Oryzias latipes: one gene and its partners. The protein of the gene in region 1 purifies or fractionates together with the protein of each later gene. This does not show direct contact. Links are inferred from orthologs where the notes say so. Each region holds a gene or a part of one and is shown on either strand. Other genes may lie near its edges.

Region 1 (3,512 bases):
CGAAGCTGGAGGCTTATACTACAAAGAAACCAAAGACATGTAAAGCTTTTTAATGTGCATATCAAGACATCAAACAAGACAGTTCCGTCATCAGCACCCATCAGTTGGCGTTAAAGCTGTCAACTCACCCTTTTGCCATCTTTGGTCTTCTTAACACTCCATGTACCATCTGAAAGCTTCTCAAAGAACTTCCTGGCTTTTGGGGCTAGGTCCATTATGTGATTGGGTGGGATGCCAAGAACCTCGACTATTTTGTTCATCTGGTCCACCTGAAGAAACCAAATGCATCTTTTAATAAGTATTTGCACTCATTATAAATGAGGGTAAATGTCAAAATGCTTCTAAGCTCTTGTAGGAACACACCACGGCTTACAAATCCAGTTTTAAGGGTACTTTTTTATTGAAGAACTACAAACAAGGTGACTTTTCGATATTCCTGTTATCAATAAGCTCCACATATGTCTTTGATATTTTTATCATGTTTTATACCTCATTGGCTCCACTAAATAGAGGCTCTCCGGTATGCATCTCTACCAAGATGCAACCCAAGGACCACATGTCGATGGCCAGGTCATAGGGCATTCCCAGCAACACTTCTGGAGAACGGTAGAAGCGACTCTGGATATACTGGTATATCTACAAACACAAAGCGTGGGAAGTGAGGGTGACTGTAAAGCGCATTGCTTTTGTTGAAAATTGCAAACCATTTCTCACAAACACACATAGACTGTATAGCAGATGAAATATATGATGGTAGATACCCTTTGTCCCAGTTGGCATGAACTGCCAAAGTCCACTATTTTGATGGCACTCCTCTTGGGGTTACAAAGGAGGATGTTCTCGGGCTTCAGGTCACAGTGGATGATGCTGAGCTCGGGGGTGGCCAGGAAGAGTAGTGCCGTGCATAGCTGCTGGGCAAACTTCCGGGTGAGATTGAGTGAGACGCCGCGGAAGTTGGTATTTCGAAGCAGGTCGTATAAATTATATGACAGCATTTCAAACACGAGGCAGAGATGGTTACGGAACATGAAGTGACGTTTCAGGTGGACTGCAAAGAAACAAAAATTGGACGCGTTAGTCGCTGACACTGCAAGCCGTTGGATTTGTTCTGTATGTGGGACATCAAAAGTAAATTACCAATATAGTATTTCATCTCCGTATCATGTTTGTTCATAAGCTCCAGAAGGCGCACTTCAATCTGGGCTTGATTAAGGAAAGCTTTCTTGTTCTTAATGATCTTAATGGCAACCCATTCTTGCTCTACTCGGTCATAAGCTTTCACAACCTGAGAATTGAACAAAACCAGTATTAAATATGTTAAAAGTATTATATCTGAAGCACATTTGTTACACTAAACATCAAGATTTAAAACCAAAAAAAGGAAGGTCAGAAAGCTGGAACCCCTTAGAAGTGGACAAATAACAGACTGTCAGTTTTAATTCCTCACCTGTCCGAATGATCCTTTTCCTATTAAGGAATCGATCTCATAGCGGTCCATCCACTTCTCCCCATTCTTGACGATGTAGTCATAGTTATCATCGTCATAGCCATCATTGAAAACCTTCCTCTCCTTTTTGTGACTGGAGTCTTCACCCTGACCCTGTTGGTGCCGCCGCTTCTTTTTTGCATAATAAACCTGAAAAAGAAAAAAAGAAAATTGAATGCATTTCAGAAAAGCACATGCAGAGATTTCTTCAGGAAATGTTAAATGTTCCTTTGGATTTTGCTCCAACAAATTAGGTTTTTCATGTATAAAATTCCTGTTTTTTTAAATGAATAATAATGTTTTTTTCTTATAAATTAAAAATATCTATCTTTATGAACAACAAATTCATAAAATAATAAAGACTACCAATTTAAAAAAAAAGAATGTTGAAATAGCAAACATCTTAAAACAAGGGGAAAACAAATGTCAAAGAATGATTTGAACTTTTACTAAAGCAAAGCCTCACCTCATTGATGTGTTTGTATGTTTTGATAAGGTCGATGGAGAGCTTCCTCAGGGGAGCTGAAGTTGGGTCACGAAAGCACTGGGGCATGTGCCTCTGAAATAAAAGTACAACAACATTTTACAAACAAACAAAAGAAACACAACTTTAGAAGTAAAAAGTTCCTCTTACAGGGTTTGTGTTTAAACTTCAAAGCTGTTAACACAATGTGACACAATTACACAGAAAGACATTTGACATGCAGCTACTCTGCCTAGTGATACTTGTTTAAAAAAAGGGAGCAAACTTTTGTGTGCAATTAAGTTTAGCTATTCCTGTAAATCCTAAAAGGGCAGTGGGAAGGGTGATTGTACCTGATTGGCAGTGAGCTGTGGTGTCTGGTCGCTGTACGGTAAAACCGTAACAGATTGGTCAGTGGTTGGCTGGTGGCGGTCACTGTACTGCTGGTGCGTATGGGGCATTGGAGCAGCCATCTGAAGACCAGCAGTGTGTAAAGAAAAAGAGGGCGCAAGCCGGACGGACGAAGGTTTGCATGCTGAAGTCTCTCCTCCTAAAAAGGAAATTAAAGTTCCCTTTAAAGTCATTGAACAGAGAAACATACAAAAGTGAAAAAGGAAAATAAAAGAGGTCATCAGAGATTTAACGCTACAAAGAAAGCCAGCAAGATGTATTATGTTATTTACAGGTAAAACAATATAATAAAGAAACATTATTTGTTGTTTAGATTTACAAAAAAAACTTCAGCTTAGTTTAAGATGAAAAGAAATTATCTATAGGAATTTATAAATGCAAATTAACAGCATTATTTACATTTGTGTTAATAATCAATCTCAAATGATGATAAACACCAACAAAAACAGCAAAATCTAGTAAATTAAAGAATTAAATGTCAGGTTTATACACAGTGCTATGTTAAACATGTACACGTTAAACAATGCAATCAAAGGACAACCCCAAAAAAATCAAAACACAGCAGAAATATGTCAACCTTTGTGAGGAAAAGGGGAAAAAACAGCCAGTTTAACAGTGAAAAGGGGTGAGAATACAGCATCTCCACACTGTACGGTGAATCATCCTTCATTTTAAGCCAGAAGGAATCAAAAAATTATTAAATAGCATGTTCAGCTATCAGCATCTCTCACCAGACAACACAATTCACCAGTGCTACACAGTAACCACTATTCAGAATCCCAGCAACAGCACCTAATTAGCATAGCCTATCACCACAGAGATACAGCGTGATTTGGCAAGCCCATCAACGCACAGACCAATCACAACGCAGTATGCAAATAGCCTACTTTTGTTGCCAGGGCAGAGCTGCTCCCATTTTCCAATGAGAAAACAAGAAATAAACAAGAAATAAAATTGAACTTTGGCACACTTAGACGTTGCTTTCAACACAAGAGCCTGACAGCAAAATAGCTGCACAGCCTAAAACCTGCACTTCATATGAGAGCATAAGAAAGCTGACCCAGCTTTAGAAAAGTAAAGAAATACCCGTCCACTGACAGAAATAAAAGGAGCTGTAAGATGAGCAGAGAGCAACACTATATTTGAGGTGCT
Region 2 (4,083 bases), on another chromosome or scaffold:
GAGGCCGTGGGCTTGGGGACGATCAACACTGGAGTCCGCTTCCCCTTCTCTGCTTCCCGATCAAGCGCCACGCTCGCACTAGTCGCACTCTTAGTTTATGGACCCGAATCTTGTCCTGCCAGCTTCCCCCGGACAGCACGCATCACCCGCCGACAGTAATATCCCGAACGGGTTTTAAAAACCGCCAACTGCTCTACCGGGATAGCTAATCTGTTGTCCGCTAGTTTCAAATGTGATATTAATGTGTTATTAAGAACGTTAATACAACAAAACAAAAACAGCTGATGGGATGATGCGTCATTTTGAGGTGAGTCACCATTGGCTAATGGGAACAAACTAGTTTGTCTTTAGCCGCATTTCATTGGCTAGATCTTTCCAAGCTGCCATATGATTGGACAAAGCAGCGAGACATCAAATAAGACCCGCCTTCTTGGAAAAATGTTACTGTTGATTGGTCAGGGGCACCTCGGGTTTTGTCAGGAGGAAATGTTTTGGTGATTTCATTGGATAGCACAAGGAAAGCCAACTCAAAAACAACCCCCCTTTTGGTTAAATTCTATAAATTACGTCAATTTTATTTGTCATAGAGCTTTATGCAAATTCTACATGAACCTTGGCTTATGAAAACTTGTTCTGCTGGATTTTATTTGTTAATTTCTCCCCAAAAATTGTGTCTTTTGGTTCTGTTTCAACTACTTTTGTTGTTTCTTTGTTCAACTACTTTGTTGTTTTTTTTGTCCGTCCTCTATGTTGTCTTCTTATTTGACTTGTAACGTTTTCATTTTCCAAAGTAAGTAAATAAATGCAAGTATAAGTTGATTTATTTAGTTTTTAAAATAAAATAAAAAGTGAAGTTGAAAAAAAAGAGGAAACATTTATTTTTCTAATCAACTTTATTAACAAATATTCTGTAACCGACTATCAAACATTGAAACACTGTGCAAATGACAACATTTTGACATTTACCAGAAAAATAAACAAAAATGGGAAAAAAGCCATAATAATAGCAAGATAAAACAGGTAAAATAAATAAAAAAAATAATAATAAAGATAAGGGATTCTGCGAAAGTCTCGAATGTGACCATGTGTCAACTGTTCTAACAGCTTTTTCGTAGTGTAGGATTCAGTACTATTTAGAAACAGAATCCTTTTTTTTCTGAAAAATAAAAACTTTTAAACCTATACTTTAAATCAAAATTTGGTGCGATCGCTTTAAGGTTGCCAGGGGAAACGGGCTCATATGTCAGAACGAGAAGGATTGACGTCAATGACGGCTGTTGATTGGTCCTCAACCGTATCCGGTGGGGCAGCGGTCCAGGGCCAGGAAAAAAATCGAAGTGAGGAGGAGGATCGGGTAACGGGGCGCTTTATAAAATATCTAATCTACCGAGTGTCTGTCGAAAGGCTCGGTGGGATTTTACAGTTTCAAGTGAGTGTTTTTGTTGTTTCGGCGCGTGGAGCGTTTGACCTTTAAATGGGTGAAATTTGTTTCCTTCGTTCCTCGTTTGTTTATGCTAGAACTCAAGATGGCGTCATTGAAGGGGAGCTTTGCCTTTGCACTGAGCTAGCCAGCTAGGCATCACACGAGACGCGCTCATTACGGCACACCGTAGGCCACAGATAGTCGATTAGGATCTTAAATTGGACAAAGAAATAACTCATCATAGTAATAAGAATCGATTTTTGTGTGTGTTTTTAATGTAATCCTCTGGCTGTAGTTGACTTGGCTGTTGCTTTCTGCTTGTCGAACTAGCTATCCTGACGCTAGTAGACGAGGCTCGAGGAACATAAGCTAACATATTTCCGTGGTTGTAAATAAACTGTTGTTTTCTGCATGTAGTTTTTTTTAAGTATAATTCATTGTAATGCATCCTTACAGTTAGTTACATGACATCACATTGTTTTTGCTAAATACGTACTGTTTCTGTCGTTAACGCTTCTCCATGTAATTTAATGAGACAAAACATTTGCATTTAATATTTTATTACTCTGTTATTAGATAAATGTAATAGATGCAAACACAATAGACAATGTATTTATTCCTAAATAACACATCAGACCTGAACAGATTATTGTCTGGCTTGTATTTTGCTCTAGTTTGGACTAAACCAAACTCAAGTTTCTACCTCCTGTCGTAGTTAGCTACAGTAAAACGATGCCAGACTCATTTTTGATCACATGGTTCGTAATCTCCCTCCTATTATTGGTGTGTGTGCGTGGAGAATGACTGTGGAGAAGACAAAGCGCATAGTTTGATTTGTTCCCCGGGCCTCGTCCTTGACCTTTTATTCATCTAAAGGGCACACATTGATCCCAACTAGGCTTTAGAAATGCATCTGAAACCATGACTGAGATCACAGTTGGTCAAGCTTTATTCAGGCTCTTTAGCTCTTAAGCGGTAGTGTAACCTAAAAATGTACATCAAAGTAAAAATAACTAATATTTCATGATTATTTCACCCTTTCTTCCAGAGGATTTTTCAATTCTAGAATGAGAGAGTTCATTCTTATGGAGAATTTAATCCCTGATCTTTAATGCCCAACATATTTGTTTAATATTGTTCAGTTATGCCTCCTTAATACAGATTTCGTTGCTCTCTTTCAGTTTGATCTCTTTAGTGAGATATGTTTGATCGTATCATATGACCACTTTTTGCTCTGTGGTTGTACTCATCCTGTTTTTGAGCTCTTGGGTTGTCTTTGTCTCTCATGACATTGGTCTCTGCCTATCTTTTTTGTTTTCCTCCCCATCTTGAGAAGAAAGTTTTAAATTTACATCACTGAATCTGTGAATCCCACGTTGCTGATTTGACATCCAGCTGTTTTTCTTTTTCTTTTCCCCACTCCAGCACAAGGGTAGAGGTCACAGAGCAGGGTTGCGGTTGTCGTCATGGCATCTGGAAGCACGAGCAGCGAGGAGGAGCGGAGTCTGAGGGAGTGTGAGCAGTACGTGCAGAAACACAACATCCAGCAGTTGCTGAAGGACTGCATTGTCCAGCTGTGCACCTCCAGGCCCGACAGGCCCATGGCTTTCCTCCGGGAGTACTTCGAGAGGCTGGAGAAGGTTGGTTTGCCCTTAAACTGTAACTTTTAGTGGACAGATGTTAGGATGAGCATCCCAGAACTCACGGCTTAGTCACAGTCTTCAAAGACTGTGACTAAGCCGTGAGTTCTTATTTAACTTTCACACTGGCTGAAGAAGGGGCTGCACGGTGGCACAGTGGTTAGCACTCTTGCGTCATAGCAAGAAGTCCCCCGGTTCAAGTCCTGGCTGAGTGTGAGAGTGTGTGATATGTGGCCCTGCGACAGACTGGCGACCTGTCCAGGATGTCCCCTGCCTTCGTCAGCCCCGTGACCCCGAAAGGGACAAAATGGAAGAAGATGAAAATGACTTGCTGAAGAAGATCATATTATTTATTATGTATTTATTTGTATATGTTTTATTTAGCATTAAACATATACAATCTGTTCTGTTCAGATCATTTTTTGATCTATTTTAAGAGTATTTCCAGCCGTCTTTTAACTATGACTATATTGTTTTTAGCCAAATTGAAAAAACCTGTAGAGCGCAGAGCGTCAGTAGCTCCTTAGAAATTCACCTCTGAGTTGTGGACGGGACCGTTGGCGCAGACCAATTCCGTCCTCAATGCTGAGAGCTCAGCACAGGGAGCTCATGGAGTATTTTCTACGCCATAAAGACAATCTTTTGTCGTTAGCGTCTGTTTCACAACAGTATGAATAAAGAAATACTCAGTAATGCAATTTTGATTTTAATATGTCATCAGAAAAATGCCACAAGAACCTGTTAAAAACATAAACACAGTATTTTCACTGGTGTGGGCTTCTAAAGTTATGTGTTTTTCTGTCAGTGTGCTAAAGCATGTGCGTATATATTGATATATGCACATTTTTATATCCATTTTTGCATTTTTTTCTGATTGTATAGTAGGCAAACCAAAAAAGTTAAATAAGTAAACATTAAATAACAAAACACAAAACAAAAAAAAAATCAAAAAATGTCTTTTCTTAACTCTGCAGGGGCATTTAAAAAAATCTTTTTAGCTTTTACCAGTGTCTGAAACCA
Region 3 (4,257 bases), on another chromosome or scaffold:
TTCTTTAAACAAAGTCAAACCTCATTAGATTCCTCCACATTTTTATCACTTGTTGAATTCAGTTACACATCCTCTATACTTTAATATTTTTATTTTCTGATGTCGGCAAAGAAATCCACGACACCTAATTGGGTTACAGTTTTTATTTTAAGGAGTTAATCATGATGCAACATTTTTAAAGTGCTTAAGAATTTAATTCAGTTTCTTTATTTTAACATGTTGATAAAGGAGTGTTTTTTTAACCGCACAACACTTGACATGAATACTTTAAGCATTCACCAAGAAAAACTTCTAGTTATCATAAAAGATAAGACCCAAACTACATGTGGTGTATTTTGTTTCTGACACGGTTTATTCATATTAAAATTTGGTTTTAAATATGTAGTTTATTAAGCTACATTTATTTACAAAAATGTCAAAACTAAAAAGTTTTGGATAAATTTGGATAAACTGATATGCCTTTTAATTACCCTTAAAGTGTTCAAAGGTCAATTTTAAAGAGAACCTCAATTATTGAAAAGAAAATGGCCAGAAAAAGAGTTTTTGTAGTCTAAAATCAGAAAGACTCCTCCTCTGGTCAAGCAAGCCATTTTGTCCAATTGTTTTTTTAAACATCTGAAGTTCATTCGAATATGATACAAAAATTGAATCAAATATGTTTTTAAAAAAATAATTCGGGTTGACATCAGTTTCGACATTCATTATTCCTCAAATCAAATCAAAACAATCTTTGTTTATACTGTACAGCACTTTTCAGGTTTTTTTTATAGTGACAAAATTCAGAATTCAATACAGAAGGCTGATGGCCAAGAAATCATTCAGTTTACATATCTTATAAATGAATAATCAACTACACATAAAACAATTAAGTGGGGAAAAAATAAAATTAAAATGGGTGTATCCTAATTAGAAATAATAAATTAAAAAACTTTAAAAGCCCTTCATATCTGGAAACATGTCCCTTCATATCTTAGTTAGGGCCCTGAACTTTGACAGTGGGTGTACTACATTTAGTAATACTTCTCCCTCCCTTTTGGATTGTGTTGGGTGAATACTTTTGACTTCATTTCTTGCTCTACGCACGTTTTCACGTGTCTGAAATCATTTTCTTGAACTGAACTAACACAAAGTGCTGTAGACCAGGATAATAAGTGAACTCCATCCTCGTGACAGAACATGTTCCTGATTGTCTTCACCCTCCAAACCTCATCTGAACATCGAGAGGAGCCCCTGCAGTGACCCTCAGAGGTCCTAGAGGCTTACAGACCACACACACCATGTGAATGGACGCTCCAAGCACAGAAAATGAACGTTTTCACAAAGTGGGCGGGAGTTTTCCAGCTGGGCCGTGTGCTCTGATGACAGACCCACCCGAAAGCCAATCGGCGCTCCGCACAAATCTGCATCAACCAGTGAGAAATCCTCTGGTGCGCCCATATGCTGCACGGGATAGTTGTGCAGGTTGAGCTGTTGTGTTGTCACTTTGCAGTAATGTTTGAGGCATGTTCTGCGCCGGAGCGCATTTCTGCGTAATGACGGAGAACGCGCAGATTACCGGGACGCGTTAAAGTGCAAACCCACGCAGCTCGTTCTTCTTATCGAAAGAAAAGAATCCATTGAAAAGAAAGATGAAAGTGTGTGCAGAAGAAAGCTCGGGAGTTGTGCCAATCAAGAGGACTCGCCGCGGTTTCTTCGCTTTGGATGAACTGAGTGCGCGCAGAGAGGAGCTGCTGTGAGCCGTGAGCGCGGAGCAAAGAAGCGGTGTGTTTTTTTTTACAAGCCCGGCTGCGGGACGCAAGAGGCGAGATGTCAGGCCGGAGTGGAGGAGCGCCCCGGGGGTGCAGCAACCCAAGCCTGCAACCCCTCAGAGCCACGGTCCCGTACCAGCTCCAGAGGGGCTCCGCTCTCCTCTGCAGGGAGGTCAAAACGGGTAAATACGCACGCAAGAGGAGGGGGTGTCAGTGCGCATTCACCTCCATGTGGTCCAAAGCTTTATTGTTTTATGTGAGACAAAAAAAGTGCACAACTGCTCAACAATGAGTGAGTGATGCAGATCCTTTTGACTAGATAACTAAATCATAGATGTATGTATAATAGATCGAGTTGCATGAGGGGATCTTCTAGAACCAATCCAGGGCTTTTGTTGCAGTTTTTATTAGTGGACAAACACATTCACTTAAATATCTAGACAACATTCCGCATACTGTGACTCAAGAGACAGTAGAAAATCTGCATTATTACAATTTAGTTTCGAGAAAAAAAGTCACATTTCTCAGCCTATTGGAGAACCAAATGGACCAGTTGTCCAATATTTTCTTTTCCAAAAGTGGGCTTACAAATACAGTTTCAGCACGATGTGAAAGTCAAGCTACACTCCTCTCATAATGTTATTTGGACACTTAGCTGCTCCTCCTTTTGCACTCTGACCTAAAGGCTTTCTCTTGCTGCATGCTTGATGCTAACGCAGCAGCGGATTTGAAAGGATTCTGATTCTGTTGTTTCTCTATTCACATCTGCATGTTGTTTATGCGTCCCTGCAACCCTGGACGCTGAGAGCGAAGCCATGTGTGCTCTCAGGTTGGTGGTAAATGTATTAGCAGCATGTTTCCAGGTCAAATGCGTGATCCTCACCTGCCAGACTTTTACTTTTACTCAGTTTTGCTGCACACATTAAGAAAAAGGGATCTTGACACAAACTAGCACTATGGTAAACCACCGGATCGTCTTACTTACTCATAAGATTACTACAGGTAGAACGCGACTACGTCGCCATAGAAACAGGAAGTGAAAGTCTCCTTGATTCCATGTACATCCTCTCTGTTTCTTAAAGCGGACAGAACCTCGGCGCGCCCACCGAAACCCACAATCCGCAGAACTCTCTCCCTGGACACAATCGTGGGACCCTATCTGCAGGGACAGTGGCCCAAAGAGGCGGAGGGCTCTGCGGTCACCTGTGTCAACGACAAAGCCACCCAGGTGAATGTCACTGGCCACCGACGTGTAAATTAGTGATGAAAACACCCGTGTAATTACAGCAGGTGAAGATGACTGCAGAATAGCAGTGATCCTGCCAGTGCGTAAAACCTGTTGCTTCATGTTGCAGATAAGAAAAAGCAGGCAGCTTGAATTCCAAATGCTTGTCAGCTCCTTCGCTTGTAGGATTTCTATAACAGACAAGATATCTGATGTTGGCTCTGCAGGTGTCTTCTTGTGGTTCCAGTTGGAGGCAGAGGGTGAGAATCAGCCAACTGGAAATAGTTGTTTTTTTGTTCTTCTTTATACTCTGCTCTTCTACTCCCCCCCCCCCACTGTATCGGCTCCAATCTAGTGCACAAAGCCCAGAGTAACATCTTCAGGCTCCGCAGCTTCATCGTCGCTCCTGGCACGGTTGAAACCCACATGAACCCCCTTTGCTTCCATTGTGAGGAACAAACCCCTCCTGACCTCATTATACAGACACCCCATCCCCCAGCACTCTCCTCAAGCACACTCGCACAAGCAGCCCACCCCCCCCTTTGACAAAGTTTCTCTGCATTATGTCAGATGGTGTAACTGCTTACTTCCACACGAACTGCCGTAACGCCACAGATGCTCATCGACGGATCAACTGACCTCAGATCAGCCACCAGTCATACAACTGTCATAACCACTGGGAACAAGATCCATTTATGTTCTAAAATGTGTTCATCCTTTGAGAAAACGCTCCTGGAATGAGCCTTCGACTCGGCTAAAGCGGCGTTGGAGAACATTTCCACATGTGGATGTCAAACGTTGACGTCTTTCACTGAATTAAATCAGTAATCTGAAGTCTACAGGTTTATAAGTGACAAAATATTGGTGAATGACAGCTATTTCATTTGTTCCTGAATGGTTTTCCAAGCTTGAAACTCAAGTGGTCCAAGCGCGGTGCTATCTCCCTGTCTTTTTATAGGTCTGTATCTCATGATCCCTGGCTCATATTTTGGGGAGGGTGGAGTTGTTGGTTTTGGATGAGGTTGGGGGGGGTTGTAACTCTATACCAACGTCCCTCTATGACCGACTCCTGCCGCATTCTGAGCTTTCCAGCCAGGCACCGGGCGTTTTAGTCAACCGGAGAGCGGGTCGTATCTGATTTTTACCTGCTCGCCGCGGCCTTTCTGTGGCGCTGTGAAGCCGACAGCTTAAAAGGAGGTTTTGTTGTGTAAGACGGAGAGCCACTATGCTGCAGGGAGAGAGATCTGAATCGCAGCATGCATCGTTAGCTTAGGCAGGCTCATG
Region 4 (4,134 bases), on another chromosome or scaffold:
AATTAGAGTCGTGTTATGTTCAAAATATTTTAATTCCATTTCCTTTCTGTTTATTCCAGCGCATATTCATTCTCATGAAATATTGTGTTTTAGTTAGCCACAAAATTCTATGCAGCCTTTTAGGGCTCTTTTAAATTTATTCCTAATTTCAAAACACTGTCATTAGCATGTTTTAGCATGGGCCCCGTTACATAAACACTTTCTAAAAGGCATTATCAGACAATGAAGAGAATGCCTTTTCTAACATAAGCTTTTAACACGGTTTCAACCCTTTTTTGGGCACCTTTAGAACCTCATACTCCTAAACTTCTATGACCATATCTTGAGGTTGATCTAAGCATGTTCATATATGCCACCTTAATTATCAACCACATTGTTTGAGGTATTTGTGAGTTACAATAAGCATTTGAGTCACATCAAGCCAAATAAATTTATAAGCAGACACTAAAAGTTGCTTTTTAAAAGGCCAGTTCAGACATCAACTACTTCCCCACTGTCTCCAAGTCCACACACGTAGATCGTTCCCCATTTTAACAAACTGATTTAATATCAAGGGGATTTTGCAAACCCCAATAAACAAACTAATACATAAGGAATACGTCAATTAAAAACTAAAACAAATTTCTGCTTTCCTCACTTAGCTGTTTTAATCAAATAAAAAAAATTCTGACCTTCTGTCTGTAAAAGCAGTAGCTGTAAGTCTAAGTTCAGTTTGTTCAAAAGCCAAAAGGACAGATTGCTGCCACCAACAAGCTTTTTAGTATCAAAATGCTCACCAGAGGTTAAAATGAAACAAGAGATAACATATTATGACAAATTTAATTAATTTAATTCATTAAAGTTGATCATGCACACATTCTAAGTCAGATTGCCTTTAAGATTTGCTAAAAGAAACTCTTTGTCTAACCTTGCATTTATATTGAAAAAATCTTAAACATTTAGGTATTTTTGCCAAAAACTACAATAAGGTGATTTTTTCTGCTTTTTATTCCGAGTAGTAGACTTTTTATATTTAATATAATTAATATATTCAATATTTTGTATTTAATTATATTTTTTCCTGTCTGTTTAATTTTTTCCAAATTAAAAATAGTTTAAAAAAAAAAAGTATTTCTGAAAATATTGCCATCCTCAGATTCTATGTAAATATGTTGACTTTAAGATTAAAAAACTATGTTTTACACAGCTAAGCTGTACTAAATCAAATCGTATCCCAATTAAAGGAAAATATGTTGTGCTTTTTTTTAATGGGACCCATCTGGCCCCACGAGCCAGGATTTTCTAGAGACGCCCCTGGAATCAGCCCCGCCCACTCGGGATTTGGCCCGTGACGCTGCTTGTACACGTAGTCCAGAAGGATGTGTTCATTGAAGATGGTGGTGTGTCAGACCAAGTGTCCTGCGTATTTGTAAGAATTGACTTTTATCTGTAAACATTTGTGAGATCAAATGACCCTATTTTGATAATATAATTGACACTTTTGACAGCTGAACTTTTCATTTGTTTTATTAAGAAGCATTAAAGTGTTCACGAGTAGTTAGCGAAGGCTAGGTAGTTAGCCATGCTAACTAACCAGTAATGCTAAGGCTAACTGACCAGGCAGTGAACCTGTTAATTAACACTCGACGAGTGGCCAGAGTCCTATCGCATATCTGTTTGTCATTTTCAGTGCAAATTTTACTCGAATTGAAGCTGATCACTTGTTTTTGGTCTGTTTCGTTTGATTTTTACATACTTAAAACATTTGTTTTGCTGGATATGTCGTTCAGGACATGTAGCGTTCCCGTTAGCTTTGTAAAGCCAAGCACTCGCACTCTTCCTCTTTGGCACTCTGATCTGTACAGGCTAACTCTACATGATCGAAGGGAGTACGCCTTGGTTATGTAACAACAAGTTTGAGAGTATTGAGAGAAAGTCGAGAGTTTTCAATTTGCATTTGTGACTTATCAAAAGTTAGAATGCCAGCAACGTTAGCGCTAGCTTACCGGGTTGCAACCGGTCTATGTCAATATAAACCACTTAAAGATCCGGGATCACGTAGCAACTCTAGTGGAAAACACAAGCTGTGCCCTTTTAGCTAGCTAGCTAAAATGTCTTATTCCTTTCCTAATCTGCATTTGAGTATATCTGATTGATTTACTCATTTGTGTTGTCAGTTGGCATATTTTATCAGAATTTCACGAATTAATGTGTAACTTTACAAAAATGCTGTCATATTTTCTGTGAATGAAAAATGTGAAAAAACAAAGCGCAGCTGTTTTAAATGTGTCAAAGTTTCTTCTTGATCTCTAAAGTCATAGAAATGTTGTTTTTAGTTTAAAATAATCACTAACTTAATGTTAATGAAACCTTTTATAGTCATGAATATATAATAGTGATAGACCATAGTTTTTTCAGTATCTTTGTACAAAAGTTTAAGTGTTAAAGACTCACTCTGATAAAAGATTGTGTATTTCAAATGTCCTTGTGGCATTTTTCTCCTGATGGAGAACATATATAAAGAAAATTAAGCATTTCTGAGTTTTTCTTTATTAAAATCGTTGTGAATCAGGAGCAGGTGAAAAAATGTTGTTGGAAAAAACTTGTAGTAGTGAGTAGTAGTAGCAGCTCCCTTCTCCGATCCATTCAAATGCGAATAGATCCATTATTTTCCGCATCCGAGCTGGCATCAGGCTCCAAACTGTACAACTGGCTATTTCCGATGTTGCTCGCCATTTTTGTTAGGCTGGGGGTGTGAAGGGTTGTAAGCTAGAAGGAGAGAGTGTAAACAAAAGGATGAAAGGAAGTAGTGTCAGGCTTACATTACACTGCACGAACAGTTTTGCCCACAACTTGGAGGCAAAATTTTAATGAACCACTGCCGCTCTGCAAAAACTATGTCCTAGAAAACAACACAGTTGTTTGGTGGGGGTTGTTTTTGTGGCTAAAAACGGCATAATCATAATTAAAAGACCACTGGAAACGCTTTTAAAAGATGATCTGAGTGGGACTATATTTGTTTTTGTTCAAACCATAAATAAATGTTTAAAAAGTATAAAATTCTAAACTCAAAAGCTCAGATTTTCTGCAATTCAGTACAAAAATTTTAATTGACACTAAATCCAAATCATGTTACTGCAGTTTAACACTGAATTCACATTATGTATCCTTTTTTAAAATAATACATACTTAAATACAATAACTATTATTGCTACAACCAGAACCAATTCAGAACTCTATGAACAATTGCCACGTTGCGCTGTTTATACAAATAAAGGTGTGGATGACTTCATCAAGGGGACACGGGTCTGCTTTGACTGCTCCTTTTCTTTCTGTACAGCTATGCCTGACTGCGCCTGAGTGTCTTCAGTGATACCTTACAGAGTGATTGGGATCCGCTCGTTTTCTAAACATGCAACCTCCTCCTCGGGCTGGACCTCCGGGAGCCTCCGGCCCTCCTCCCTCTGGGCCAAATATGTTTCGTAGGACCAGGCCTCAGAAGTCTGCAGCAGCGACTGGTACAATGCCTCCTGCTACCCAACCCATGACAAATCCTTTTGCTTTTGGTCAAGCTCCTCCCCCTATGGCTACAGGTGGTATCCCAACAATACCAACGGGCAACCTTCCTCAAATGCAAACACCACCTAGTGCCACGTATTCCCAGCATGGGTCGGGGCTGCCTCCACAGCCGCAATCGCTGGGCGGTGTTCCGTTTGCTCCATCTGTTCCTCCACCATCCACTTTGCCAGGGGTTCCCCTCTTAGACCATCACAGTGCAGTACCTCCTGGAGTTCTACCTGCTCCAAGTCAAACAGAACATACATCTTCAAATAGTGAACAGGGCTACTTTAATTCGAGAGATCAAACGTCGTCCGTGTCGACCGAGTCCCCACCAATGGCAGCAACTTCAGCACCCAGTCAGACACATTTTAACCAATCATTTCAAGGACAACTGCCTCCTTCTAATCCTGTTCACTTTCAGCCGCACCCCCCTGCATCATCTTTTCCTCAGTGGGCTCCTGAACACACAAGTCGCCCCCCATCAGTTCAAAACTATTTCCAGCCTACTAGTGATCCTCCACCACAGCTATTGAATATAGATCCACAGCCTCAAATGTACCCCCCTCACAGTCAGTCGCCTCATCACAACGTACT

What was found.
Region 2: the proteins of dyrk1a (region 1) and prkar1a purify together in Homo sapiens (affinity purification with mass spectrometry; 6 studies listed by BioGRID and IntAct, with this or other methods). This does not show direct contact. The link is inferred for Oryzias latipes from reciprocal best matches to the Homo sapiens genes DYRK1A and PRKAR1A.
Region 3: the proteins of dyrk1a (region 1) and fam117a purify together in Homo sapiens (affinity purification with mass spectrometry; 4 studies listed by BioGRID and IntAct, with this or other methods). This does not show direct contact. The link is inferred for Oryzias latipes from reciprocal best matches to the Homo sapiens genes DYRK1A and FAM117A.
Region 4: the proteins of dyrk1a (region 1) and sec16a purify together in Homo sapiens (affinity purification with mass spectrometry, with the first as the bait; 3 studies listed by BioGRID). This does not show direct contact. The link is inferred for Oryzias latipes from reciprocal best matches to the Homo sapiens genes DYRK1A and SEC16A.

The regions. Positions count from the first base shown.
Region 1 is NC_019871.2:12,328,084-12,331,595, reverse strand, and holds part of dyrk1a (dual specificity tyrosine-phosphorylation-regulated kinase 1A), read right to left. Parts: intron 2,500-3,512; coding exon 2,303-2,499; intron 2,046-2,302; coding exon 1,953-2,045; intron 1,637-1,952; coding exon 1,448-1,636; intron 1,286-1,447; coding exon 1,138-1,285; intron 1,049-1,137; coding exon 762-1,048; intron 637-761; coding exon 490-636; intron 270-489; coding exon 129-269; intron 19-128; coding exon 1-18. UniProt on the Homo sapiens protein: Dual-specificity kinase which possesses both serine/threonine and tyrosine kinase activities. Exhibits a substrate preference for proline at position P+1 and arginine at position P-3.
Region 2 is NC_019877.2:4,028,811-4,032,893, forward strand, and holds the start of prkar1a (cAMP-dependent protein kinase type I-alpha regulatory subunit), read left to right. Parts: upstream 1-1,271; 5' UTR 1,272-1,429; intron 1,430-2,848; 5' UTR 2,849-2,889; coding exon 2,890-3,063; intron 3,064-4,083. UniProt on the Homo sapiens protein: Regulatory subunit of the cAMP-dependent protein kinases involved in cAMP signaling in cells.
Region 3 is NC_019866.2:4,184,070-4,188,326, forward strand, and holds the start of fam117a (protein FAM117A), read left to right. Parts: upstream 1-1,445; 5' UTR 1,446-1,806; coding exon 1,807-1,930; intron 1,931-2,830; coding exon 2,831-2,976; intron 2,977-3,200; coding exon 3,201-3,233; intron 3,234-3,992; exon of another isoform or gene 3,993-4,257.
Region 4 is NC_019870.2:8,822,958-8,827,091, reverse strand, and holds the start of sec16a (protein transport protein Sec16A), read left to right. Parts: upstream 1-1,322; 5' UTR 1,323-1,408; intron 1,409-3,319; 5' UTR 3,320-3,391; coding exon 3,392-4,134. UniProt on the Homo sapiens protein: Acts as a molecular scaffold that plays a key role in the organization of the endoplasmic reticulum exit sites (ERES), also known as transitional endoplasmic reticulum (tER).